Linked DNA regions of Oryctolagus cuniculus. The protein of the gene in region 5 interacts with the protein of the main gene of each other region in a pairwise test. Links are inferred from orthologs where the notes say so. Each region holds a gene or a part of one and is shown on either strand. Other genes may lie near its edges.

Evidence for each region.
Region 1: the proteins of HTT (region 5) and WDR91 interact in binary tests that used the Homo sapiens proteins (3 or more experiments, as listed by UniProt). The link is inferred for Oryctolagus cuniculus from reciprocal best matches to the Homo sapiens genes HTT and WDR91.
Region 2: the proteins of HTT (region 5) and COPB1 interact in binary tests that used the Homo sapiens proteins (3 or more experiments, as listed by UniProt). The link is inferred for Oryctolagus cuniculus from reciprocal best matches to the Homo sapiens genes HTT and COPB1.
Region 3: the proteins of HTT (region 5) and SRRT interact in binary tests that used the Homo sapiens proteins (3 or more experiments, as listed by UniProt). The link is inferred for Oryctolagus cuniculus from reciprocal best matches to the Homo sapiens genes HTT and SRRT.
Region 4: the proteins of HTT (region 5) and NFKB1 interact in binary tests that used the Homo sapiens proteins (3 or more experiments, as listed by UniProt). The link is inferred for Oryctolagus cuniculus from reciprocal best matches to the Homo sapiens genes HTT and NFKB1.
Region 6: the proteins of HTT (region 5) and KLF11 interact in binary tests that used the Homo sapiens proteins (3 or more experiments, as listed by UniProt). The link is inferred for Oryctolagus cuniculus from reciprocal best matches to the Homo sapiens genes HTT and KLF11.
Region 7: the proteins of HTT (region 5) and FTL interact in binary tests that used the Homo sapiens proteins (3 or more experiments, as listed by UniProt). The link is inferred for Oryctolagus cuniculus from reciprocal best matches to the Homo sapiens genes HTT and FTL.

Annotation. Positions count from the first base shown.
Region 1 is NC_091434.1:171,032,377-171,036,332, reverse strand, and holds the start of WDR91 (WD repeat-containing protein 91), read left to right. Parts: upstream 1-1,156; 5' UTR 1,157-1,202; coding exon 1,203-1,325; intron 1,326-2,974; coding exon 2,975-3,154; intron 3,155-3,674; coding exon 3,675-3,882; intron 3,883-3,956.
Region 2 is NC_091432.1:51,724,194-51,728,314, forward strand, and holds the start of COPB1 (coatomer subunit beta), read left to right. Parts: upstream 1-1,321; 5' UTR 1,322-1,481; exon of another isoform or gene 1,482-1,517; intron 1,518-2,246; 5' UTR 2,247-2,307; coding exon 2,308-2,398; intron 2,399-4,121. UniProt on the Homo sapiens protein: The coatomer is a cytosolic protein complex that binds to dilysine motifs and reversibly associates with Golgi non-clathrin-coated vesicles, which further mediate biosynthetic protein transport from the ER, via the Golgi up to the trans Golgi network.
Region 3 is NC_091450.1:43,017,493-43,020,992, forward strand, and holds part of SRRT (serrate RNA effector molecule homolog), read left to right. Parts: intron 1-1,261; coding exon 1,262-1,390; intron 1,391-1,569; coding exon 1,570-1,716; intron 1,717-1,905; coding exon 1,906-2,112; intron 2,113-2,483; exon of another isoform or gene 2,484-3,500. UniProt on the Homo sapiens protein: Acts as a mediator between the cap-binding complex (CBC) and the primary microRNAs (miRNAs) processing machinery during cell proliferation.
Region 4 is NC_091439.1:62,714,509-62,718,730, reverse strand, and holds the start of NFKB1 (nuclear factor NF-kappa-B p105 subunit), read left to right. Parts: upstream 1-1,422; 5' UTR 1,423-1,557; intron 1,558-4,222.
Region 5 is NC_091433.1:1,890,090-1,893,589, reverse strand, and holds part of HTT (huntingtin), read right to left. Parts: intron 3,340-3,500; coding exon 3,149-3,339; intron 1,620-3,148; coding exon 1,505-1,619; intron 1,396-1,504; coding exon 1,182-1,395; intron 876-1,181; coding exon 770-875; intron 1-769.
Region 6 is NC_091433.1:192,211,523-192,214,858, reverse strand, and holds part of KLF11 (Krueppel-like factor 11), read left to right. Parts: coding exon 1-693; intron 694-3,336. UniProt on the Homo sapiens protein: Transcription factor. Activates the epsilon- and gamma-globin gene promoters and, to a much lower degree, the beta-globin gene and represses promoters containing SP1-like binding inhibiting cell growth.
Region 7 is NC_091449.1:8,287,905-8,291,211, forward strand, and holds FTL (ferritin light chain), read right to left. Parts: upstream 1,808-3,307; 5' UTR 1,707-1,807; coding exon 1,605-1,706; intron 1,469-1,604; coding exon 1,322-1,468; intron 1,003-1,321; coding exon 877-1,002; intron 782-876; coding exon 629-781; 3' UTR 501-628; downstream 1-500.

The DNA.
Region 1 (3,956 bases), on a different chromosome or scaffold from region 5:
TTTTTTTTTTTTTTAATTTATTTATTTGACAATTTATTTATTTGAAAGGCAGATTTAGAGACAGAAGGAAACAGAGAGATCTCCCATCAGCTCGTACATATTGGTTGTCGTCCAGATTACAAAAATATGGACACCTGTGAAAACTTCAAACAATTGAGAAAAAGTGAAAAATAGGAAGTGAAAGTCCCTTCTGGTCTCACCTCACAGAGAAAGCAAATATAAACAGTCGGCGTGTAATCTTCCTGGGTTTTCAAAATGTGCAAACGCACACACACACATGCACACACACATTTTATCTTTGTGAGAAGTAAACATTCGGCTCATTTTCAAAGTGAAGCCTTTAGCTGTGAGTCGACAAGCAGTCGACTTGTCACAGTTTGCAGAACGGCCCGGGTCCACGCACCTGACAGTTCTTAGGCAAACAGGGTGTTAGTGGCCAAAACAGCTGAAGCGGGTGAGCCCCGCACTCACTCAGCCAATGGGGACCTGGAGGCCGGACCTGCGTGCTGGGGGAATAAATAGCTCGCTGCAAAGCCCCCGGGTCTGCAGGGCGCTTAGCGAAGTCTGGCTTGCCCGCTGCGCTGCGCTGCGCTGCGCTTCTGGTCCGGGGCCATCCTTGGAGTGGACGGGTGAGGCTGTTTCTCACAGCCGTCTGCCTTTTTGTTTTAATTAACGAGGCACAGGCACCACCTCATCGTAACTCGGGTTTTCCGTCGTCGCCAGGCGTCGTGGCGACCCTGCCGTGTGGGCAGGGCTTTGCGGGGAACGGGAGCCCCCCGACCGCACACCTGCGATCCCTCCATTTTTAAAAGGAGAGGTGGGAGTCACAGGGGTCTGCGATCAGCCGGGCACCCACTCCCCGCCTGCCTCGCGGCCGTGTGCTACGTTCTCCAGACTGAACAGCTGCTGCCGTTCTGAGGAACTCGGAGCTGTAATGCCGCCGCCAGGAAAACTAGCGCCCGCAGAGCCTCCGCCAGCAGCCCCTCCGGGCGGCCGCGGCATGACGACACGGCGGGGCGGGGCCGGGGCGGGGCGCCGACCGAGGGGCAGGGCTTCAGGGCGCGAGGCGCGCGGTGCGTGTGCGCTGGTAGGCTGGCCGCGGAGTGACGTGTTGGCGCCCGCCCCCCGTCTCCGCCCCGCCCCCGCCAGGCCCCGCCCCTTCGTCCCTCGCGGCCGCGGCCCCTCTAGGCGCCGGCGCAGTGATGGCGGAGGCGGTGGAGCGCACCGACGAGCTGGTCCGCGAGTATCTGCTCTTCCGCGGCTTTACGCACACCCTGCGGCAGCTGGACGCCGAGATCAAGGCGGACAAAGAGAAGGGGTTTCGGGTGAGGGGCCTGCGGGGGCGGCCCGAGGGAGCCCGGGAGCAGCCCGCTCCCCAGCCCCCACTGCCCTCAGGGGCGGGGGCGGCGCTGTCACCGGCGGCGTGGGGGCCGCGGAGATCGGCGCGCGCGGCCCTGGCCTGGCGGACGGGGAACCGAGGCCCTGACACGGGCGTGACTCGCCTGAAGTTGTCCTGCAGTCGGGGGCTGTGGCCTGACCGCTGGTGCAGGTCTGGGTGTTGCTCCCCGGCCTCCTAGCAGGTGCTGGTCAGTCGATGGCTGGGGAGACCCATGTGGTTTCAGCAACCAGGGTTGGGTGGCTGGGAGGTTCTGGCGGCCGACGTATCTATCCCAGGGTTGTTTTCCCGAGGCAGTGGGAGCGCAGCAGGGGTGTGTGCAGCCCAGAACGTTAGCTGGGTTCAGACACCGGTGATGTCGGTCTCAAGTGCCCTTGTTAGCTCACTGGCAATATTGCAACTAAGCACTGGAGGAAGACCTCATTGCACGTGCTAAAACAAACTTTCGGGGCTCCGGTATGGATTTCCGTGGGGAAGTTCTTGGAATCCACGTGTGTGTGGTTTGTGTGTCGACTTCAGCGGGTGTTGGCAGGTGAATTGAGACAGTGAACTCCAGCAAGGGGCCTCCCTGGAGGGGAGTTGGGAAGTCGGGGTTCTTGTTTGGACGAAGTTAGAGGCTCCTGAAACAGGATTTCGCCTCTCTGGGCTCCCGTGCCCCAGTCTGTAATCTATGGGGACTAAAGTGTTGATAGCCAGAACCTTTTCAAATCACCTACTCGGGTATAACTGCTCCTCACAAGGAGGTGGCTCGTTTGGCTGATAGTCTGCGCAGCTATGAGGGCGCTGGTGGGTCGCTGATGACTGGCGGGGGTCCATCAGCGTGCCTCCCGTTGCCCCTTGGAGTCCTGGAACTGTGGAGCTAGAAGGAGGACCATCTCATGTGCTCTTACACGTTTATTATTTTCAATGTGAAGCAACCCAGGAAGCAGTTGAAGTGACAGTGCCAACTTAGTCATGTAAGTCAGAGGCAGATCCAGGACCTGGAGCCAAATCTCCTGCTTCTCTGGCCAAAGCCCATAACACCTGAAATTTCTGTGCCTGCCTAAGATTCGAGCCGTAACTTAAAAGGTGGTACAGTTATGTCTTAAAAACTTCATAGACTGCTAACTTAAAATTTGTATAAATTGTCAGATTTAAATGGCAAGTTAAAAACTTTTATTTTTTCTTTAGGAGAAGATGTATTTATTTGATAGGCAGGGTGACAGAGAAAGGGATCTTCCATCCTCTGACTTACCACATGGCTGCAACGGCCAGGGTTGGGTCAGGCCAAAATCGGGAGCCTGGAACTCCAGCCGGGGCCCCGGTGTGGGTGACAGGGGTCCGGGTATCTGAGCCATCCGCTGTTGCTTTCTTGGGCGTATTAGTGGAGAGCTGGATTGGAAGTGGAACAGCGTGCACTTGAAACGGTGCCTGGATATGGGACGTTGGATGTTAACCTGCTGCACCGCCCAGCTCCAGCCCCTAACTTAAAACTGCTCACATCCCGAAGCTATGGCAGTGGGGAAAACGCTGTGCCCTGTGGAATGAGGGGGGCTTTGCCTCCTGTCCTCACCCTCCCCACCCCTCCGCTCTCACCAGGTGGACAAGATAGTGGACCAGCTGCAGCAGCTAATGCAGGTGTACGACCTGGCCGCCCTGCGGGATTACTGGAGCTACCTGGAGCGGCGGCTCTTCAGCCGCTTGGAGGACGTGTACAGACCCACCATCAACAAGCTCAAGACCAGCCTGTTCCGCTTCTATCTCGTCTACACAATCCAGGTGCTTGGTGCTCCAGGGGCTCTGCCGCCTTTGGCGGAGATAGGGCTTGGTCTTGACCCACAGATAGGGCTTGGTCTCGCCCCTGGGGAGGGCTGTGTGCCTTCCTGTGAAGGAGCGGGACAGTCACGTTATTTCGTGCTGGTTTTTTCCTTCTCCTCTGGATCATCTGACTTCCCCATTTCTGTTTTCCTTCCTATTTAAGATGTTGGAAAGAATATGAAGTTGCTGGCCTGAGGTTTCTGTAATAAGCAGTACAGATGATCGGAGAATCGGGCAGTCGGGTTTTTGTAGAACCTCAGGGACTCGTTTTCAGGATGGCATTTGTTCTTGAGCTGCACATGAAACCAGCTTTGCAGTGACAAGGCCCTCGAGAAAAGGGGCGATGGCTGCTTTCCAATGTGGAGTGGACAGGTCCTCGTGGGCCACTTACCTGGGAGGCTGACACGCACAGGCCGTCTGCTCGGCAGGGGTGAGGAAGCTCACCCGCATCTCCATCTTCCCCCTCCTCTGTGTCTTGCAGACAAACAGAAACGACAAGGCCCAGGAGTTCTTTGCAAAGCAGGCCACGGAGCTCCAGAACCAGGCCGAGTGGAAGGATTGGTTTGTCCTGCCCTTCCTGCCGTCGCCGGACACCAACCCCACCTTTGCTACCTACTTCTCCCGACAGTGGGCGGACACCTTCATCGTGTCCCTGCACAACTTCCTGAGTGTCCTGTTTGAGTGCATGCATATCCTTCCTGTTGCCTGCGGCCATGGGCCCGGTCTGGGGCTCCCAGACGCCGTGACCAGTAGCCGCTGCCCC
Region 2 (4,121 bases), on a different chromosome or scaffold from region 5:
AATGCTTATTATGAAAAGATGTGTTGGGGCCAGCGCTGTGGCATAGTGGGTAAAGCCACCACCTACAATACCAGTATCCCATAAGGGTGCCGGTTCAAGTTCCGGCTACTCCACTTCCTATCCAGTCTCTGCTATTGCCGGGGAAAGCAGTAAAAGATGGTCCAAGTCTTTGGGCCCCTACACCCGCGTGGGAGACCCAGAAGAAGCTCCTGGCTCCTGGCTCCTGGCTTCAGGTTGGCACAGCTCCAGCCATTGTGGCCATCTGGGGAGTGAACCAGCGGATGAAAGACCTCTCTCTCTCTCTCTCTTTCTCTCTCTAACTCTGCCTTTCAAATGAATAAGTAAACCTTAAAAATACACTAAAAGATGTGCTAGGTTTTAAAAATTTGAATGAAAATGCACAGGCTCAGAAAGGCACTCTTAAAATGCTGTGACACATGGTCTTTCGATGTGTTTTGGGTGTTCATAGGATTTATTTTTTGCTTGATGATACCAAAAAGGAAAACACTCAGAATAACTGGATTCCAGATGCGTGAGGTACTATTTGTGTTCAATCCCTAGGAAGGTGAACATGTTAATAAGTGCAGGTTCTGTCAGATCTCTTTGTATGCACAGTATGTTGCTAAGCCAAATGTTTTTTTATTAATAACAAATAAAACCTTTTTGGTGGGAGTTTGGAAGTGGTTTGAGGGAATCTATGGCACCTCAAATGAGCAAAAGCAAAGATGCTGGTGGCTGATTGTAGCTGTAACAATTAGATCTTTACAGATAGGTAGACTCCTTTAAGGCTGCGTTTCCATTTACTTAAAAAAAAAAATTCAATCCACACAAAAGGAGCCATCACTAAACAGCAGAAACGGCACCAGCGTGGCGTGACTATTAAAGCAATTCCCGCCCTACTGCTGAGATTCGGATTCAGCTACCAGACACCACGAATTCGCGTGGATCTTGGTATAACCTAGTAGCGCTTATTAAAAGAACTGAAAATACTTTCCCAATAGTAAATAGTACCTCAGTTGGTTTGGCGAGCAATTGGGCTTCCAGCTCCCGGAGCAGAACTGTTCCACACAGACCGCGTAGCCCTAGGCAAGGAAAGCCCTTGCCTTCCAGAACAAACTTCCCTTGTTTCAGCTCCTAGAAGTAAGTATTTCCACGCAGCGTTTAAATGACCTTCGCGCTTAACTCGGCGCCTGGTTTGCAGGGAAAACTTAATAAATATCTACTCCCATTCATCTCAGTCACCTAAACCAACCATATACCCGAAGGGAGGAAGAAAACAAGGCGCTTGCCGCGCGCAACCGCAGGACGGAGAAGGCATGTCCTCTCCGACTCGCCGTAGGTGCTAGGTGGCTGCTGCTTCGGTCCCCACCCCACCCCCTTCCACGTCAGCCAAGGACTCGGAGGAGCCGCCGCCGCCGCCGTGGGTTGGAGTCCAAATAGACGGTCCCGCGGTGACCCCAGCCGCTGCCCCTCGGAGCCAGGTAGCGGACCTCGAGCCCCCCAACCGCGGAGGCTTGGTGAGCCGGGGAGAGTCGGAGGAACTGGCTCTCTAGCTGAAAGATGCGAGCAGCAGCTACTAGGCCGCTCGCTTCGGGCCTGGCAAAGGGGAACGGGTCGGGGTGGGGGCTGGGGGCCGCGAAGCTCTGGGCCGGACGCCCCGTCTCAGCTCGCGTTACCGATCGGGGGTCTTCTGCCTCCCAAGACTCCGAGCTCACCCTCTGAGGTGGGGCCTGCTTTGCTGGAGGCGTGGGAGAGGGAAGTGGGTGGGTGAGGTGGGGGTGCAGCGCACCGATTGAGGGACCCCCCAGACGCCGTCAGCATCGACTTGTGCCCCCGATAAACCGCTTTAAAGTTTTGGCAGAGTAGTCACATAACATTTCTTAATTTGAGCAGTTCTGAGTGTATATTCTATTAAAAATCACTGTTTTGTAACGCTGAGGGTGGGCTGGGGGACTGTCACTGTTTTTGACCCTGAATTCTGCTGTACAACATTCTCAAACTCTAGACAGCGAGAGGAATAGGGGAATCAGACGTGCTATACCTTAGTCCGGGGCTGACAAGGGTGGGTTTTTTGGGTTAGAATTTGTTTTTATGTGAACACAATATAGATGGGTCCTTCCCATTTAGTACTTGAAAACTCATAAGCCAAATGCAATGGACTTTAGCAGTAAAGAACACAGTAGTTTACTGGTTTGTGAGATTTTGTTTTTAAACTTGTAATGATGTCCCTGTATTTATTTTTCTAGATTTTCTGGCATCTGTTTATTCTTAAGTCTTCTGTCTGGGGTTGATTATTAACTGGAAACCATGACGGCTGCTGAGAACGTGTGCTATACGTTAATTAACGTGCCAATGGATTCAGAACCACCATCTGAAATTAGCTTAAAAAATGATCTAGGTAAATGCTTATAATATTTTGAGAATGAAATTAATATTTACATTTTTACATTGCATGGTTCTTTATAATTATGAATGCTTTAGTTTTATCTAAATTCTTTTTTTCTGATGAAAACGTATTGTCTTTTGACTTGCAGTATTGGTTTTTGGAAATAAGACAACATTTCAGTTATGCTTACTAAAGCTAAAGAAATGCAGTCACTGAGTTATCAGATACTTCTTAGACTTAATTGTGTAGTTCCATGTATTACACTTAAATGTAGCTGATAATTCTTTAGAGGTAACAGGTTAAGAATGTGTATTAGAATGTCTTAATTCCTTTCTGCGCTTAACTTCCAATTACTTAGCTTATAAAACCAAAAAATTCAACATTGGAATCAATGTGTTTTTCCCTAAAAAGTTAAACTTTTTATTTTTAAAGCATTTTTGCCAAGAAGGAAACAAGAACAATATTCCTTTTTTTTTTTTTTTTTTAGTTATTTGAGAAGCAGACAGATTTCTCTTTCTGGTTCACTCCCTAGCCGAAGCTGGGATCCTAGAACTCAGTCTGAGTCTCCCATGTCTCTCAGGGTGCCCATTTAGCAGGAAGCTGGAACTCTGAGCAGAGCTTATTTATTTGAAAATAAGAGTTACACAGAGAAAGGAGAGGCAGAGAGAGAGAGGACTTCCATCCGATGGTTCACTCCCCAGATGGCCGCAACGGCCAGAGCTGCGCTGATCCAAAGCCAGAAGCCAGGTGCTTCTTCCAGGTCTCCCACACGGGTGCAGGGGCCCAAGGACCTGGGCCATCTTCTACTGCTTTCCCAGGCCACAGCAGAGAGCTGGATGGGAAGAGGAGCAGCCGGGACTTGAACCAGCGCTCATATGGGATGCCGTCGCTTCAGGCCAGGGCTTTAAAGTGCTGCACCACAGCGCCGGCCCCTTAGAAAGGTCTTTCATCTGCTGTTTCACTCTCCAGATGGCCACAAGGGCCTGAGCCAATCCAGAGCCAGGAGCCAGGAGCCTGGAGACCCTCTTCTGGGTCTCCCACTTAAGTATAGGGGCACAAACACTTGGGCCGTCACCTACTGCTTTCCCAAGCCATAGCAGAGAGCTGGATCAGAAAAGGAGCAGCTGAGACTAGAACTGGTGCCATATGGATTTTGGCACTGCAGGAGAAGGCTTTGCCCACTATACCACAGCACCAGCCCCAAGATACTTTTTTTTTTTTTTTAATTTTTTTTTACCTGGAAGGTAAAAATTCAGAGAGAGAAGGAGAGAGAGAGATCTTCCATCCACTGGTTCACTCCCTAAATGTCTGCAGTGGCTGGGGCTGTGCCAGGAGCCAGGAGTTTTCTAGGTCTCTCATGTGGGTGCAGGGGCTCAAGCACTTGGGTCATCTTCCACTGCTTTCCCAGGTGCATTAGCAGGGAGCTGGATTGGAAGTGGAGCAGCCAGACCTCAAACTAATGCCTGTATGGGATGCTGGCACTGCAGGCAGAGGCTCAACTGACTGCGTCACAGCACCAGCCCCCATAAAATACTTTATAGTGCATAATGTTCAGGCTAAGCAAGCAATAAACTTTCATTTTTTCTTAAATGTGTCATCCTTAAATTCTCAACAGTGGCTATAACTAATCTTGAACATTTAAATTTTCTTCCAGTTTCTTTCCTTTTTTTAAGATTTTATATTATTTTATTTTATTTTATTTGAGAGGTAGAGTTACAGACAGTAAGAGGGAGAG
Region 3 (3,500 bases), on a different chromosome or scaffold from region 5:
CTTGGGCCAGGTCTGATGGCCTCTGAACCGGGGAAGCCAGGGTGCAGCTCTCGGTTCACGGTGGAAAGCCTAGGGCCAGAGAGGGGGCTGCCGGTGTGAGGCCTGGAGTCCAGAGGCCAGCGCTGATGGCCAGAGCTGAGACCTGTGTGCTGGGCGTGTGTAGCCTGCAGACCCCGGCCAGTCGCTGATGCGGGCCCACCCAGAGTCCCTTGCTGATCTCACCTCGAAACTCCCTCCCAGACAAACCCAAAATAACACCCAGGTTTCCACCGAGTGTCCCTGTGAGGCCAGATGTCTATGGTTTCCAACCAAAACATCACGGCAGATTGGATGTCAAAGTTACTCCTCTTAAGCCAGAGCCACTTTTCTCAATAAAATTGTACAGGGAAATCGTTTCTTTTGTAAAAACTTGGACTTACTTTTGGACACAGTAAGTATGGCTAGCCACAGGCAGAAGGTCTGTGACGTCAGCAGTCTTTAAGATCAAAAAGTTTGCAAACCACTGGGTCCGAAGAAAGTGTTTTTGAGCTGGGGATGGAGGCAGCAGTGAGGGTGGAGAGGCTGGGACGACAGGAGGCAGCGCTTTGATCAGGTGTGTTGGACAGACGGGTGACCGGGACAGCGGGCGAGGAGGGGAGAGACGGGGTGACCGGGACAGCGGGCGAGGAGGGGAGAGACGGGGTGACCGGGACAGCGGGCGAGGTGGGGAGAGACGGGGTGACCGGGACAGCGGGCGAGGAGGGGAGAGACTGGGTGACCGGGACAGCGGGCGAGGTGGGGAGAGACTGGGTGACCGGGACAGCGGGCGAGGAGGGGAGAGACGGGGTGACCGGGACAGCGGGCGAGGTGGGGAGAGACTGGGTGACCGGGACAGCGGGCGAGGAGGGGAGAGACTGGGTGACCGGGACAGCGGGCGAGGAGGGGAGAGACTGGGTGACCGGGACAGCGGGCGAGGAGGGGAGAGACTGGGTGACCGGGACAGCGGGCGAGGAGGGGAGAGACTGGGTGACCGGGACAGCAGGCAAGGAGGGGAGAGACTGGGTGACCGGGACAGCAGGCGAGGGGGGGAGAGATGGGCGGGGATGAGGATGGAGTCAGGTCCTGTTGGGTGAGTTGAAGGGGCCGGGACTCCTCGGCGGGAGCTGGCGCGTGGGCAGCAGGAGACGGGAGTCTTTTTTGGTGTGTGTGACTTGAGGCGTCCAGCCTGGTCTTGGCGTCCTGCGCCATTTCCTTCATGATGGCCGCTTGTTCTCGTCCCCAGGGAGTGGGACCGCAGCCGGGAGCGCCGCAGTCGGGGCGAGTACCGGGACTACGACCGGAATCGGCGCGAGCGCTTCTCTCCCCCGCGCCACGAGCTCAGCCCCCCGCAGAAGCGCATGCGACGTGACTGGTGAGCTGATGGCGTTCCCCTCTCTCCTGGCCTCGGCTCCGCAGCCTTCCACCTGCCGAAAGCGCCATTGCCTTTTCGCAGTCCCCCTCGCCCCGGCCGTTTCTGTTCCCGTGCGCCTGCCTCTGTGGCTCGGGGGGGATGGTGGCCCCTTGTCTGACTTCCGTGTCCCCCGTCCTCAGGGATGAGCACAGCTCTGACCCATACCACAGTGGCTATGAGATGCCCTATGCTGGGGGGGGTGGGGGCCCAACTTACGGCCCCCCTCAGCCCTGGGGCCACCCGGACGTCCACATCATGCAGCACCACGTCCTGCCTATCCAGGCCAGGTAAAGAGCAGTGGTTCTGGGTGCCCTGGAGAAGGGAGCCAGGGAGGGGTCGGTGGCTGGAGCCTGGGAGGGTCGGGCCACAGAGGGCCCGAGGGCTGGGGGCAGGGCGGGCTTGAGGTGGTGTCCCTGGTAGGCAGAGAAAGGGGCAGCTGGCTGCCGTGGCCCCGCGCCCTCTTCCCCCCAACCAAGACTCGTGGCGGCCTCCAGGCTGGGCAGCATCGCGGAGATCGACCTGGGTGTGCCACCGCCCGTCATGAAGACCTTCAAGGAGTTCCTGCTGTCGCTGGACGACTCTGTGGACGAGACGGAGGCCGTGAAGCGCTACAACGACTACAAGCTGGATTTCCGACGGCAGCAGATGCAGGACTTCTTCCTGGCCCACAAAGACGAGGAGTGGTCAGTGCCCCAGCCTCCCTGCCGCCTCTCCCTGGCATGTCCCCCCGGCCCTGTCCTCTCCCCCGTGCACCCAGTCCCGAACTCTCGGGGGTGGGGGAGGGGGAGTCTGACCGCGTCTGGTGGGATCTCCTCCTCCGGTGACTGCCGCGGCCCACCCCCGCCCGCCCTCCCCTCCCCGCTGTCCTCGGTCAGTGGGACGCCGCCAGGCAGCTGGCCAGAGCCACCGGGCCCCTTGGGGGCCGCACACAGACTGCTTCCCCTCGCTGGTAGCGGGCCGTTGTCATTCCTGATCCTCAGGACCCTGTGTGGCTGTGGCGTCCTCCCAAAAGCGACGAGTGAATCCAGCGAGAAAAGCAAAGATCTCAGGGTCGTTTGAGAGAAAAAGATTTTATTTTTTTTCCTTTTTTTGTGGATGTTTTAATTTTAATCAACCATCTTTTCCCCCCTTCCTGCTCCTCCTCCTCCTCATCCTCTTTCTGCTCCTCCTCCTTGAAAAGAGCCAGAACTGGGAACCACACCCGCTCATCGTCGGAGCTCGGAGCAAACCCACCTCCACCCCCACCATACCCAGCCCATACATGAGCCCCTGGGCTGAGCCGCGCTGCCCCGGCCAGGCAGACAGGCAGGGCTCCGCTGTGCACAATGCAGCGCGTTAGCTGAATGTGATCGCTCAGGCAGCCAGTCAGGCAGGGCCCCCCCCCGCGGAGTCCCGCAGGGGGGGCATCCGGGCCGGGCGCCCCAGCCAGGAGCCAGCCGGTGCCCGCCAGCCAGCATGGGCCCTGGGCACCGCTAGTTAAATCTTGAGCTCTGTTTGACCAAGCAGCCAAGGTAAAGATCGTGGAGGCGACGCCTGCGGCTTTCTCTCCTCCCACGGCCTCGTGCTTCTGTTCTGTCCGCTGTCCCTTTCTCTGACTGCCCGGCCGCCTGTGTCCTTGTCTCAGTCTCTCACTTCCTTTCATCCTCTCTGTCCCTGTTCTCGCTGCCTGCCTAACACTCACTTCTCTTCTGTCCCCCGTTTGTCTGTCTTCCGTTGCCTTTGTTTCCTATCTCTGACACTTTCTTCCTCCTTCCCACTCCTGCTCTCTCTGGTCCCCCGTCCTGTTGGGAATGTTTTATTTCTCGTGCTCCGGCCCTCCTCTCTCTCCCGTGGGCAGCACCTGTGGCTCTGAGGGCGCACCAGTCTCCCCCGCTGGTCTGCCCTGTCCCTTCTCCATCTTGCTTATCTTCCCCAGGGGGAGAGAGCTGTCCTGCCTTTTGGCTTTTCCTATCTGGTGCACTTGAGGTTTCCTTCTGTCTTCCACCTAGGGGTGGAGGGAGTTGGTGGGTGCAGCTCTTTGAACCACAGTAGTGTGGGGTTGGCAAGGAGAGGGAGGTTCCTCGGGGCCTGC
Region 4 (4,222 bases), on a different chromosome or scaffold from region 5:
ACAGAAGACCACTGGGGTCTCCCACATGGGTGGCAGGGACCCAAATACTTGGGTCATCTTCTGCTGCTTTCCCAGGTGCATTAGCAAAGAGCTGGATTGGTAGTGGAGCAGTGGGGCTCAAACAGGTGCTCATATGGGATGCTGCCCCCCCTCAGAGTTCTTTCTTGGGGTGCTAACCTACCATAGTGTCTCCCCAGCCCGTGCTTAGCGCAGTGTCAGGTGCGGGCAGCAGCTCAAATCCAGGAATGGTGGTCAAGGGGAGGCCCGTCTGCAGGGGCCAGTAGCAGTCTACCCAGCAAAAAAGTAAAGAAGGAAAGAAGGAAGGAAGAAAGGTAAAAAGAAAAACTCCTTTCTGCCAAATCAAGATTTCCCTATGACCCGTGAACCAAAACCATCGCTGCCACCCTCACTCTCATTCTATCCACGGTAATCATCAAAAGGCCCGACCGTAGCTCTGGGTGGAAGCTGTGAATAACTGGCGCAAAACCAGGAGATTAAAGACCTCGCCAACGCCCAGAAGATGTTCCTACTGCATTGGACCTAAGTCAGTTATGCTATCGGAATTCCAGTTTACTCTGTGAGGAGATTCGGGTGTAACCGAGACGGACTTAAATGGAACATACAGATGAGATTTATTTTTGTAGCTGGCAGGCTTGGATGCATGCCGACCCCTCATCGCCGCCAGCTGCTCGGGCCTGCCTTTCAGGACTCCGGACCGCCCGCTCCCACAGCCGCCGCCTGCTTGCCCGGACAATTCGGGCCCGCAGGCGCTTCCTGGGGACGTCCCCGCTCGCCCCCAGCCCTCCAGGCTGCGAGAGCGCCGGGCCAGCAGCAAGAGCCCTGCAGGCCACCCGAGCGTCCAAGGCCGCCTGAGCGCGCTCCGCGTCTCTACGCTGCCGCCAGGGGCGGGAGCCGAGCCGCCCCGCCAGGCCGGACCGGGGGCGCGGGGCGCCTCCACAAGTGCGGGCTTTCCCCACCCCCGGCGGCGACCCCACCTCCCGCCCCCGCGGCGTGCGCGCCTGTGTCCGTCTGTCGGTCTTCTCTCTCGACGTCAGTGGGAATTTCCAGCCAGGAAGTGAGAGAGTGAGCGAGAGAGCAAGAGAGAGAAGTGCACCAGCGAGCCGGGCAGGAAGAGGAGGTTTCGCCACCGGAGCGGCCCGGCGACGCGCTGACAGCTTCCCCTGCCTTTCCCGTCGGTCGGGCCTCCAGCCGCCGCCACCGCCACCGCCGCCCTTGGCCTGAACGCCGCCTGCCTCCCCGTGCCCACAGACCGGCGCAGCCCAGGCCGGAGCCGCCGGGCCAGGAAGGCGGTGCAGCGCCGCCCGGCTGCCGAGCGCCCCGCGCTTGCCTCCGCCCGCGCTGCGGACATGGCGCGGCGCTGACGGGCCCGGCCCGGTCCGACCGCGCGCCTGCTCCCGCGCTCCGACCCGCACCCGGGCCCGCTCGGGCGCCGGCTCCAGCCGGCTGCTGCCTCTTCCTTCGCCAGCGCGCAGGCCCGCGCCGCCCCGGAGGGCAGCCCCTAGGCGCCGGGAGGCCGCGCGCGGACCCGCCACCAGGGTAAGCCAAACTCGGGCAAGTGGGGGCCTCGCTGGGGACTGGGGGCCGCGTCCCGCCGCCCACCCGGCCCGCAGCCCCGGTACGCCCCCTTGGCCTTCCTCATTCCTGCGCTAACCGCTGGGCCAGACCGTGGGAGGAGGTTGACAGTAGTTGAGAGGCACATGGGCTTTGGCGACTGGGGGGAAGGCACATCCGGACTGCGCGGGGCTGTGCGGCCGAAGGGCCGCGGCCGCCGGAACCCTCCAGTCTCCTGAGCCCCGCTGCCCGGCGAGCACGGGTACCAGAAGCGACTCTTGGAAACTTTTTTTTTAATCCACACCCCTTGTCTCTGTCTGGGGGTGTCTGGAGGTTTGGGGTACGCTGCGGCGCGGAGGAGATCGGGGAAGGTGGTTGGTGCAGTGCAGAACCAGATTTCACCTAAGGGCGTTCCATGAAATGAAAGCAGAAGTGCTTGTCAGTTCTCTAGGTTGGAAAAGCCCTCCCCAGCTTCCCAGAATTAAACAGGAGAGCCTATTCCTCCCTATTGGACTTCTGAAAGAGAGAAGCCCTCGCTTCCCACAAGTGCCCGGCGTGTGTACATACATACGCACACTCACACACACAGCGACAGGGCCTAATCTGTTCACCTGCTGTTGGACCTGCGCATTAGTTTTCAAAAAATGGGGGCCTGGTACTCATCCTCCAGGGCCTGGCGTTAGAGAAAGATGAGAAATCACACTTAGAGCACTTTTCACTGGATTATGTAAAGCTCTGGACAGTGGCATCGTGCATTGTGCCTAACCTCGAAAACCAAACTCATGATATAAACCAAGACTATTCTAAAGATAAGTTTTCTTATGAGCTTTTAAAATAGACTCTGATGGACGTGTTTAATTTGGCCTATCCTGCAACTTAACTGGTACTTAATGATTTAGGATTTAGTTATCAAGACTGAGGACAATTTCTGATCTTTTAACTAGAGGTTTTCAGCATTGCAGCTTATGAAATAACATTGTTTAACTCCAAGGTTTTCTTATAAAGCTTATAATCTGAGAAAAATGTTATGGTATTGCTAAAATATTTAATAGTTCTAGCATCAGAATGTTTTTCTACAAACTGAAGATCTTTGGTAAATACTAATACTTGAAAACAAAATTATCAATAATTATTTTTCTAGCAGGATTCCTCAACTGAATATTCTTGAATAGTTTTAACTGTATTAGTGTGTGCTGGAACTTTAAGAAGGAAACTTAATTAAAATAAAACCCTTAGCTGAAGTATGTTGTTTTCTTGATTTTAATATTGTGCTTTCTAGAGATGAATCCTTCTATTGTTTTATGTACTAAAGAAATTAGGTAAATAAAGTGAAATGCTTTTTGAGCTGATGAGCTCAGGAAGATAGGAAATCAAAAGAGGTGTGTTTCTTTTGGCATTTTACATTTATCATGGAATTGAATTCCTAAAATGAAGGGTGTGTATATGTGTATGAAATGGAAACAGGAAATCTCATAAAACTGTTCATCCATATTGATATACCTGCAACTCCTCAATGCCTTCCTTCACTTGTTTAGGTAAAATGTCTTCTTGGGCAGCCTAGTAGGCCAACTTGAACACAGAAGACTCATTGTATGTAGGTTTTAATGCTGGAAATTAACTGCTGCTTGTTGTGGAAAGTGTACCACTTTTAAACTACTTGAAGAACATATTTAAGAAAACAGTATAATCCTATTAGGAGTTGGTGGTGATTTGCAAATCTGTTATCCTAGTTTTGAAATTGCAGTTTTATCTTCTGTGCTACAGTTGGCCCTCACGTGGGCTGAGTAGATGCTCCTGTTTTTCAAACTCAGTAAAATGAGGAGTATACCCATAAAAATGGTCTTGTTCCCCTTTGTGAGCACTCCTTTGATCTTTGCACTTCCTTTTACTCCTACCACTTAAACAATATCATTTGTGATGACTGAGTTGGAGTTGGTTAAAGCTCAGTTATTCTGAAATAGGCAGGTTTATAGATCTACTGATCATAGTCCTTGCATTTCTCTTATCATTGTTCCTTGAAACAAATTGAAACTAGATTGAGTAACTAATATTTATGCAGGTTGTTTTTGCTACTGTTTTTAGAGTTCCAGGTAGTGGATGAAGTAAGTTACTGCCCTGACTTTGAGGGATTGCCCATTGTGTTAGATAGGAAATTTAGATAAACAGTTGGCAGCTTACATGGATCTTGGACAATGATTCAATCAGCAAACCCTTATTTTTACCTAATTGAAGTGAGATATTCCCCTGTTCAGAAGAGGCGAAAGTTCTGGCTTCTGGGGGGAAGTGGTTACTTCCTAACCTTCAATTAGTTTGAACTCAAAGAGTAGAAAAGTAGTTCACAGTTTAAAACCATAAGTTAAAGTAATTCTATCTGTGTTGTTATACAGATTTTTGATGAGTGCTCAAAATATCTTACCTTCAGAACATACTAGTAGATGTGCTTTTCAAGGAGGTGACTGCTGTAGGAAGTTAGATCTGCAAGAGTCGAGAGAGCAGTTTAACAGTGAGTAAATATTCAAATTACGCTCTTCTGTCTACAGATTGAGCAGGATTCACATTCATATGGGCACATATGAATCAACAGCTGTGCAAATTTCTCCTTGATTTGTCTTTTAGTGGGACGGTTGTTTTGTATAGGTGGTTAATTGGC
Region 5 (3,500 bases):
GGTCACTCTGAGTGCCTGCATCACGCTCACTTGGTCACGGTGCTCCACGGGGTGGCTGCACACACACGGACGGCCACAGTGACCGCAGGCTCGCTGGAACCTCAGGCTCAGCACAGAAGCAGACCGGCATGTGCTTGGCCACACAGAGAACCTCTTCGGGCCCCAGAAGGGACTCATGCAGAGCCCTTCTGTGCGCATGCCCGAGACCAGCCTGAGAACAGTCTGTCTTCGGCAAACCAACTGCTCACTGCAGGCCACAAAACTGCCACGTCACTGGGCCCGGAGAGACTCGGGGCAGGACACGGGCTGCTCTAGGGAAAGCCTGACGAGCCCCCGGCGCTCTCAGGACTGGCAGGTGTGCGGATTCTGAGCACACAAGTGGGAAGGCTGGGAGGCCTGGCAGCAACTCCTGAGGGTACTTTCGCTCCAGCCTCTGCACTGCCTGACGCTGCCCTCAGGGGCTGCATGTCCCTCCTGCAGTGCACGGTGAGCACACAAAAGGCAGCAAGGGTGAGCAGGCGTCTGCAGTAGGGCCCGCCTCCAGGCCCCGACCTGCCACAGGCCGATCCCACGGGCCTGGCCCTCGACCTCCCCAGGGCCACCGTGGAGTCACTCAGTGCTGGGGTCCCAGGATGGCCTGCTGGCGGGACAGCCCCTGGTCGGAGGGTGAAGAGACATGAGGAGGAAGGTAAGCAGATGCGCATGCGTATGCTCCTCTGGCCAAAGCCCAAGGCAGTTCACGGCCACAGCGGCGGGCTTCGCTGCTCACCTGTCGAAGAGAACGGATACCCGCTCCATCGCGACAATCACTGACTCGCTGTCTGGGGCTGCGGGGTTAGCGTCCGAGGTTCTGCCCGGGCTGATTTTCTCCTTCCCTGAAACACAAGTATTCAATACACAGCTGCACGATTTATAAAGCCCAACAGGCTCCACAGACGGTGCCTTGCATACGAAGTTCAACAGACCCCTAGAGATGATCCGAAAGAGGTGACCTAAGTAAGCCCTTAGCCGGCCCAGGACCTGGCCAAGGCTCAGCTGCATGGGAGGCAGTGGCCGGAGGTGTGGCTCTGCTGCCTATGCACAGTGGCTGACCTCAGGGCAGCACCCGGGTCAGGCCGCACCCGGGTCAGGGCAGCACCCGGGTCAGGGCAGCACGGGCGCAGGCGTCCGCCTCTCCTCACCTGTGTACATGCAGGTAAGCATCAGGCCCAAGGCCGCCATAGCCCGATGCGGGCTGTGCACATTCACTCTGTCCACACTCAGCTTGACCAGGGACTCTGCATCCAGCCGGGAGAGCTGCTCGGACAGCAGGAGGCGCTCCAGGCCTCGGAGGGCACAGTGGTAAATGATGGAGGGTGTGGCCTCCTCACTCCCAGAGAGCATCACTCCACACATCTGGACGAGAGAAAGCCTTCTGTCAGAGTGGCAGGGCGGCCGCAGGGGAACCACAGCTGACCCCACTGTCCACGAGGACAGGGACAGAGATGGGCCCGGGGCCACTCGCCTGTATGATTGACGCTGAGAACTCCGGCCCCACGTCCAGAGGATAGTTCTCCATCAGGTAGAAGGCAGTGGCGCACATCACCAGCACGTGCTGCTGGCTGTGAATGTTCACGCAGCTGCAACGGGGCACAGATGGCCTGTCACACACAGCTGCCCCACCCTCGCGGGCCGGCTCCTCCGTGGCCTGGACCCGTTCAACCTGGCCTGGTAGGGGGTACATAGGCAAGGCCACACGGCACTCGAGCACTCTGCACCCTGCACGGCTGGCCCTGGCTTCTGCACTTGGCCTCACTCCACATGGCCTGCCTGCCTCACGCTGCAAAGCCCTCAGCCTGGCTCGCCTCATCCCAGCACTGGCCACTTCACCTCTGCCCATCAGAGAGGCCTGGAGGGTGCCCTCTGCTCTCCTGTGTGGTACCTTGAACCCCGACTTGGGGAGTCTCCTCTTGGCACCTGTCTGCTCCGCAACAGCCTAGCCTGCCTGTCACTGGACAAACGGCCACCGTGAACAAAGACCTAGCCTGCCTGTCACTGGACAAACGGCCACTGTGAACAAAGACCTAGCCTGTCTGTCACTGGACAAACGGCCACTGTGTACAAAGACCTAGCCTGTCTGTCACTGGACAAACGACCACCATGAACAAAGACCTAGCCTGCCTATCACTGGACGAACGGCCACCGTGAACAAAGAGTCTAGCTCACCACCTCTGCCACACGTGCAGACAGCATACCCACCTCCACTGCTTACGCACGGCTGCCACAATGTAGGCCGCATGCTGGCTCTGAGGCCAGCGCTGTCCAGTCTCTACCTGGACACTCCCTGTATCCCTCCAAGTCTGCTGAGTGACAGCACCAAGGAACGGCCATGCACCAGATGACCAGTGGCTCTGCCTTGGCCTGATGCCAGCTCAGGGGCTGCACCAAAAACGTGTCCTCCAACACATGGGGCAGAGACAGGCCCACCCCCACGTCTCAGCAGGACTCCACCATAGACCCATCTCTGGGCACACGGGGATGGTGGCCAGCTCTCTGCCTACCCTGCTTGCTCAGGGCTCACCATCCAGTAGGAAGGGCCTTGCTACAGCGCCACGCCGTCTCTGCCTGGGTTGGAGCCATGGGTTCCTGGTACCACCTCCCTGCTGCAGCCCACCCTGAACCACACCTGAGGGGCCTCCTCTGCCTGCAGAAATTCAACTCTTCCCATGACGGTGAGTTTGAAGACAGCTAAGCTGTGCTGCCGGCTCTGCTGGGTGCCACGTGCTCGTCTGCTTCCTAAGGGCTCCGTAACCAGCCATGCCTTCTCAGGGCCGTCGGGGCAGCAGGCGGCAAGGTGGGATCACAGCAATGCGTTCCCCACCACGGCGTGCGGGAGGGGTGCTACAGAGAGCAGGCTGAGCCTTGGCCGTGCTTGCCGACAGAGTGGGCAGCGGCACGTGGGAGCGGGCTGAGCACCACGGGGGAGGAAAGCAGAGATAGTGCCACCTCCTCGGGGGCACTCGCGAGAGCTTCCATCGGGCAAGCATCTGCACCCACATCTCCCGGGCCTCACTGTTGCCAGGAGCAGGGCGCCTGCCTGGGTTCCCACTGCTACCTGCCGCCCTGTGGCCAGCTCTTTCTCCCTCCCACCCGTCAGGTGCCCACTTACTGGGCTACGCCCTTGAGGTTGGAGAGGAGATAGTCGCTGATGACGGGGATGAGCTGCTTCGCCGTGTCATCCAAGAGGTCGCACTCCAGCACGTAGAGGGCGCCGTGCAGGGCTCCGATCCTGCTGGGCAGGTGGCCGCTCCTGAGCGTGGTCTCCAGCAGGCGGCTGACGGGCTCGGCCACAGCCTTGTCCTGCAAACAAGCACAGGCAAGGTTGCCCAGGATGGAGCAGGAGCAGCTGGCCCAGTGGCCGGCTGCCCTGTAGCTAAGAGGCTGCCCTCATGTCCAGAGAAGTCCAGCATGCAGAAGAGCCCTGAGAGCTGGCCTGTGACAAGGTTAGCCCCTCGCTGCCT
Region 6 (3,336 bases), about 190 Mb from region 5:
GCCCTGCCCCTGCGCACTGCGCCGCGCACGCCCGAGAACAGCAGCTTTCCCACAGGAGACAAGGAGGGGCACAGCCTCTGGGACATTTGGAGGCTTTGCAAGACCCCGGCCTCGCCGGCACTCCGCTCAGCCCTACCTCGGCGTCCTGCGAGCCTCGCTTGCACAAGTCCGGTGGCTCCCTGGCCACCGGCGGAGGCCAGCAGGCAGGGTGCTCACCAAAGAATCCGGAAAATGACTTGCCACGGAAAGCCACGCCTGTGGTTGCCGTCTCTGTCCCCAGCCCCCCTGTCCTTTGCCAGATGGTCCCTGTGACGGGACCGAGTGGCACGTTCTCAGCTTTTCTGAACCCCGCCCCGCAGTTGTCTTCGGGGACTGTCAAGCCCATCCTCCCCCAGGCGGCCCCCGCGCCCCCGCCCGTGTTCGTGGGCCCGCCCGTGCCTCAGGGAGCCGTGATGCTGGTCCTGCCCCCGGGCGCCCTGCCCCAGCCCGCCTCCTGCACGTCCAGCGTCGTGGCTGTCGGCAGCACCAAGCTGCTGCCTCTCGCGCCCGCCCCAGTGTTCATCACCTCCAGCCAAAACTGCGCCCCTCAGGTAGACTTTTCTCGAAGGAGGAACTACGTGTGCAACTTCCCAGGCTGCCGGAAGACCTACTTCAAAAGTTCCCACCTCAAGGCTCATCTGCGCACTCACACAGGTACGCCCGGGCGGGGGGGCGCCCTGAGCTCTTTTCCTGAGGTCCCGAAACGCCCGCGGTCTCGGCACAGCCGTCCGGTTTTCCTGCAGAGCGGGGCGAGGGCACGGGCGTCTGCATGGTGGGCCTCCCATAGCCCTCCGGGGGGTCGCGGTGCCCACTTCCGTGTTGCAGGAAACACCCATGCTGCTTTGCGTGCTAGGACATGCACGGTGGCGCTCACTGAAATGCCTGTTGGGTGGCTGGTGGGCAGGCTCTGTCCAGACTGTAGACGTCGAACTCGGCGATGTTCTAGACAAATAGTTCGTTCTTTTGAGGAGGAAGTGTTCAATTTAGAAGGGAGAAATCTCAGCCACTCTTAAAGATCTGGGGATTGCTGGCTTTATTGTGCAGACAGCTGTGTGTAGAAACACCCTCTCGGCCGGCCGTCCAGGGAGTGGCCACTGGCCGCAGGCGCTGGAGCCCGGGCTAGTGTTGGGGAACTGAGCTGGGCTTTGCCATTCTTTGAAGTTTACATTTGAACAGCGCCTCGGGGTTGTGTCCGGGACGCTGATGGGCGGAGGCCTGCGTGCTGCAGGCAGAGGAGCAGGGGTGGAGGGCGAGGTTTAGGGCGGCCTGCCTGTGAGTTGCGTTGTGTTGCGTGGCTTTAAAGGACCCTACAGTTGAGCAGTCTGCTCACTCCACGGTGTCACCGTGACAGGTCAGAGGTTCCACAGGAGGGAGGTGGGAAGGAACGTGCTGTTTCCCTGTACTGCCGGCGGCCGTGCGTGAGGCCCAGGCCCTGGTCCTGGCCCATTGAAGAAGACGGGCCGCCAGGGCCCTCCTCGCTGTGCGGCCGCCTCACTGTCTGGGAGCCCTCCCAGGGCCGCCAGAACCAGTTCTCAGAGTGTCGCTCTCTTCCTCCGGTCCCTGACCCTCGTAGGCTGCTGTCTGTCTCTCTGCTCTTTACTTGCTGTGTGCTTGTCCTCTGTCCCCCGAGTGTGAATCCCTCGTGTCTCACACTCGGGCCTGATGCTGGTCAGTGAGGGCTGCGTCCTACGTGAGATGGGGGTGGCTGGCCTGGTCACGGTGGGCGGGGCTCTGCTCTCGTGGGCGCGTGGCCCTGACACCAGCGGCACAGGGGCTTCAGATCCCACCAGAGCGCAGATTCCAGGTGGAGGCAGGGGCTGAAGGAGGCGTCCCGGCTTCTCCAGCCAGCTTCCCTGGGGTGTTGATCAAATCAAGCATCTGATCAGAACGGGCTCCTCTCCTGCTAACCTCAGCACTCCAGCTGAAATAGCCGTGAAGTTGTGAAACGTACCCTCGTGCCACTTAGTAAACAGTTGGAGTTCGAGAAATAGTTTACCCTGGACAAAATCACTTTTCACATATTTCTACCAGTCTGAAAAATGTTTAAATTGGGGTCAGTGGAGTGGATGGATGGTGTGTGTTTGATGTGTTGCTGACAGGTAGGGAACTGCACAGATCCGGCGCCAGAGGCCTGTTGGTGTGTCCAGCCCCAGGGCGTCCACGAGGCAGTAGGGCAGCACTCCTGGCTGCTGTTGCTGTCGTAATTTATCAAGAATGAGGTTTATTTAGTGCCCAGTCCTGGAGGCTGGCATCTGCCTAGGATCTGTGTGGGGGGGGCTTCCTTGTGTCGTCACACCTGAGGCAGCTGCCTTTATGTCAAAGCCCCCGCCTCCATAACCTCGGAGTCCATCCGTCAGGGCAGGGCCTTGACGCAGTCGTTTCTAAAGGCCCAGCTCTCACATGCCACTAGCATAGACCTCGGGGGCTAAGCCTGCGGCGTGTGAGCTGCGGGCGGCGTGCTCAGGCCCTGGCAGAGCCTGGTGCTTACACACAGGGCCTTCGTAGCCCGTGCTGCTTGTCTGATTCATCATAGTACCGAGTCTTCCTGTTAATTCACCTCTGAGAGTTGTGGATTTCACTCGTTGATTGAAACCGTTTATGTGCCACCTGCTGGACAAAGTGCTGTGCCAACAGCTTAACTGTGTGAAGATGGAGATGGCTGAATCGGTCATGATCCAGGGAAGACGCGTCCTAGAACAGCGTTTAACAAGTCAGTGGTCACGCGTGCACTGTGTGTTTCCCAGCCTGGTGAGAGAAGGGGTGTGCTCCTGCTGCGCAGAGGGGCCCCGAGAGCTCTGCTGGGGGGGAGCCCCCGGCCTCTGTGGGGAAGGCCCTCTGCTCACCCCCGTACCTCCAGGAGGACACACGTGGGGTACGTCCCTGATGCTCCGAAACTTTGAGTGAGTGACAGACATGCTTAAGGCGTGTCACGAGAGGGTGTTGGGTATTAGTGGGATGTTGGAGGTGTCCCGGAGGCCACGGGTTACATGTTTGCTGCCCGGAGTCAGTGCTGCTAAGAGAGTGAAAATCAGTCCGAATTCTCTGCCCTCGCATCGTGAACTTCCAAACCATGAGCTGAGCAGTCCTTCCTTTAGAAGTAGCTTGTCTTGGTGACTCTGTTAGACAGAAGCGAAGTCCTGACAGTGGCTGTTCTCTTCAAGATGTATTTGTTTGCAAGACTGAGCGACAGAGAGGGGGAGAGACAGAGCTCATCCCTCTGCTTCACTCCCCAAAGGGCGGCAGCAGTCCGGAGTGGTCCAGGCTGACACCAGGAGCCCGGGGCTCTGTGCGGGTCTG
Region 7 (3,307 bases), on a different chromosome or scaffold from region 5:
CTTCCTCTGCTCCCGCAAAGGGAACAGGGGTCAGAGCTGACCCAGCAGACGCTTCTAGAAACCCGCGTAAGCTGCTTCAGTTCCCCTTTGGAGACTCTGGGCCCGGGTCGCACGTCTGGTTCCTGTGCTGAACCCCAACAGCATCACGCGCCCCTGCTCCTCCTGACCTGTCTTCTCGGTACGTGCCCTGCACCGGAGTTACCCCGGCGCGGGCGCAAGGAGCAGCAGCCTTGGCCGGCCGCTCTGGGCTGCCCGTGGTGAAGGGTCACTCATTGTTTACCTGCCTTTCAGAGCTTGGCCCGCTGCCTGACCCCATCACCGCCCAGGCTGCTGAGGCCGAACAGGGCCTTGCTGCCAGCCCTCCCTGAACCTGGCCCGACCCGCTGGGCAGGGCAGTTAACGGCCAGCCGGCCTGGCGGACCTCTCCCCTGCCAGCCCACTCCGTGGAGCCCTGAAGGTCCGTTCCGCCGCCTCCACCGTAATGCACACCACAACCCCATGCTGCAGCAAGAAACTTTATTTCCGTTTGGTCCCAGGTTTGGGAGAGGGTTCAGGGCTGTGAACAAGCTGCCTGGCGGCTGGCAGGAGAGCGCGGGCAGACGCGCGGCGCCGCTGGCTCCGGGCGCCCCTAGTCGTGCTTGAGCGTGAGCCTCTCGAAGAGATACTCGCCCAGCGAGGCCTGGGGGCCGCTCAGGCGGCGGATGTTGGTCAGGTGGTCGCCCATCTTCTTCAGGAGCTTCACCTCCTCGTCCAGGAAGTGGTTCTCCAGGAAGTCACAGAGCTGACGGAGAGAAGGGGAGATCAGACGGCGCACGGAGGAGGAAGGCTCACAAGGGAAATCAGCCCAATCAAAGGCGCGGTGGCGGGGGCACTTACGTGAGGGTCCGTGTGGGCGGATCCCAAGGCATGAAGGTCCAGGAGCGCCTGGTTCAGGTTCTTCTCCAGGGCCAAGGCGGCTTCCATGGCGTTGAGGGTCTTGCCCCACTCATCCTGGGACGGCTTCTGCACAAAGGACGAGGGGCTCAGCACTGGGCCCAAACTCCACTTTCCCAGCAGCCGTCGGGGGCCGGGGACGCTCAAAAGAGGTGGGCGGGCTTGTACTTACTACCCCCACCCTCCTACAAGAGTCGCCTCAGGAGACCACGCAGCGGCCCGGACCGCGGGGCCCTCAGGGTTCACCTCCTTTTCCAACCTTAACGACTCGCTCACGACTGAACTCAATCTCCCAGAAGGCCGCGCGACACCCAGCCGGCGCTCGGGCTCCGGTCTCGGCGCGCGCAGCCCGCCGGGAGATGTAGTCCGCGGGCCGCACACCAGGTACCTGCACGTCCTGGAAGAGGGCGCGGCCTCCGCGCTGGTTTTGCATCTTCAGGAGCCGCTCGGCGGCCTCGCGCTTCTCCTCCGCCAACTCGCGGAAGAAGTGGCTCACGCCCTCCAGAGCCACATCGTCGCGGTCGAAATAGAAGCCCTGCGGGAAGACGCGAAAGGAAAACCGTTGGCGGGAGGCGTGCGGGCTCCGCCCCCGGCGCCGCCGCGGGACAAAGCGGGCCCGCGCACGCGCAGTTGTGTGCAACTCGGGTCGGGGGCGTCCCGCGGACCCTCACCAGAGAGAGGTAGGTGTAGGAGGCCCGCAGATGCAGATTGACCAGGTGGTTGACGGCAGCCTCCACCTCGGGGGAGTAATTCTGACGGATCTGGGAGGTCATGGTTGGCGGCGGTGAGATGACCACAGAACCGCGGTGGGCTGGTCCCAGGAGCAGGAGGTGGCCGAGAGGTGGTCCCGGAGCTTCTGACTGGAGAGGAGGTCGGAGGGCGGTCGAAGCCTGTGAGAGAGTCCCCGGGCCTGTTCCGTTCAAACACTGTTGAAGCAAGACACAGGTCCGCGGGTCTCCCGACGCGTAGCTTCGGGCGGCTGCTTGGGCGGCGGCTTTTATACTCTGCTGGCCCTCGGGGGCGGGGCTCGGAGGGCGAGGGCTCGGCCAATTGGCGTTTGGGGGAGGCAGGGCCTCCGGGCGGCTTCTGACCAATCAGGCGCAGAAAGGGGGTCTCCGTCCCCACCCTGAGGTGGGGAAGTCACGCGCCTGTTGCGCGAGCCTGTTGTGAAATGGAGAATGGGGGTGGGGGTTCTGTGGCTGGTTCGGGGAAGTCGAGGGCTTCTGAGGGTCTCTCCGGGAGGTGAGAGGTTGGTGGGTGCCCGGGGAGCCCCTGGGGAGTGATGACCCTGTGGTCCTGGGGCTACCTCAGGAAAGCAGGGGTCTGTGGCCGTTTCTGAGAGCATGGAACTTTCTGGAACCCGGGGGGGGGGGGTCGTGCCTCAGAGCGCGGAGAGGACCTGCAGGCTGCCAGGGGTTTGTGCTGTGAGCTGAGGGGTCTCCCCGAGCAGGAGGGCTGTGGAGGGCTGTGGAGGTGGCTGTAAGCGAGCCCTGCGGATCTCTGGGAGGAGGGGGCTCCTGCCCTGAGGCCTGGGGGTTAGGAGGAGGTGGGGACACCATGGGCATCCACATTTAAGTCCTCCCCGGGAGGCCTTTAGGCGCTCCAGGTGGTCATTGATGCTGGGGCGTGTGGAGCCTGGGGTCGAAGTGGCGGGGAGGGGTCCTGGAAGTCTATTGGGGCGCGGGGGGAAGGGACGATTGTAAGAGGGGCCCGGCCCCTTAAGGCGCACAGAAGCCTGGGCTCCTCGGATGCCTTGGAGTCCGTCGGCGCCCAGCGTTCCTGGGAAGTGAGATGGGGAGAGTGAAACCCCCCGGGTGCTGGGGTCTCCCTGGGGTTGCGTTTCCTGGGGGGGCTGTTATGGCGGTAACCCAGAGACTTGGGGTCTCCCGTGGCCCCGGAGCAGTCTCTCTACAGAGGCCCCGTGTCTGGCCTGCCACCTGCTGCTTCTGCGTGTCCAGGAGACGCCTTGGGCGGCCGAGGGACAGAGGTCGGGGACACAGGGGCGGGGTGCCTGTCTCCCCGGAACGTGCATTTTTTTTAAACGCACCAGATGCATGTGGGTCTGGGAGTCAGGGGCTCAAACCAGCGCCCTGACCTCGGGGGAGGAGGAGCCAAGGCAGGACCTGGACCCCACTTAAGTGGCCCCTGGAGGCAGGCCTGGGGAGCCGAGGCCCCAGGCGCGGGGTGCAGGGTCAGGACCTGGGCGCTACAGCTCCTGGCCAAGGCGACCCCCAGGTGCTGGGCCCAAGCAGTATCTGGGGCCCTCGGCCTAGGCGGGTGACCAGGCCGGGATGTGCTGAGTCATGCTGACTCCGCGGGGGGAGGGGAAGGGGCAGTGGCCAGCGTCGGCCTTGGAGCTGCTGACTGCTTAAGA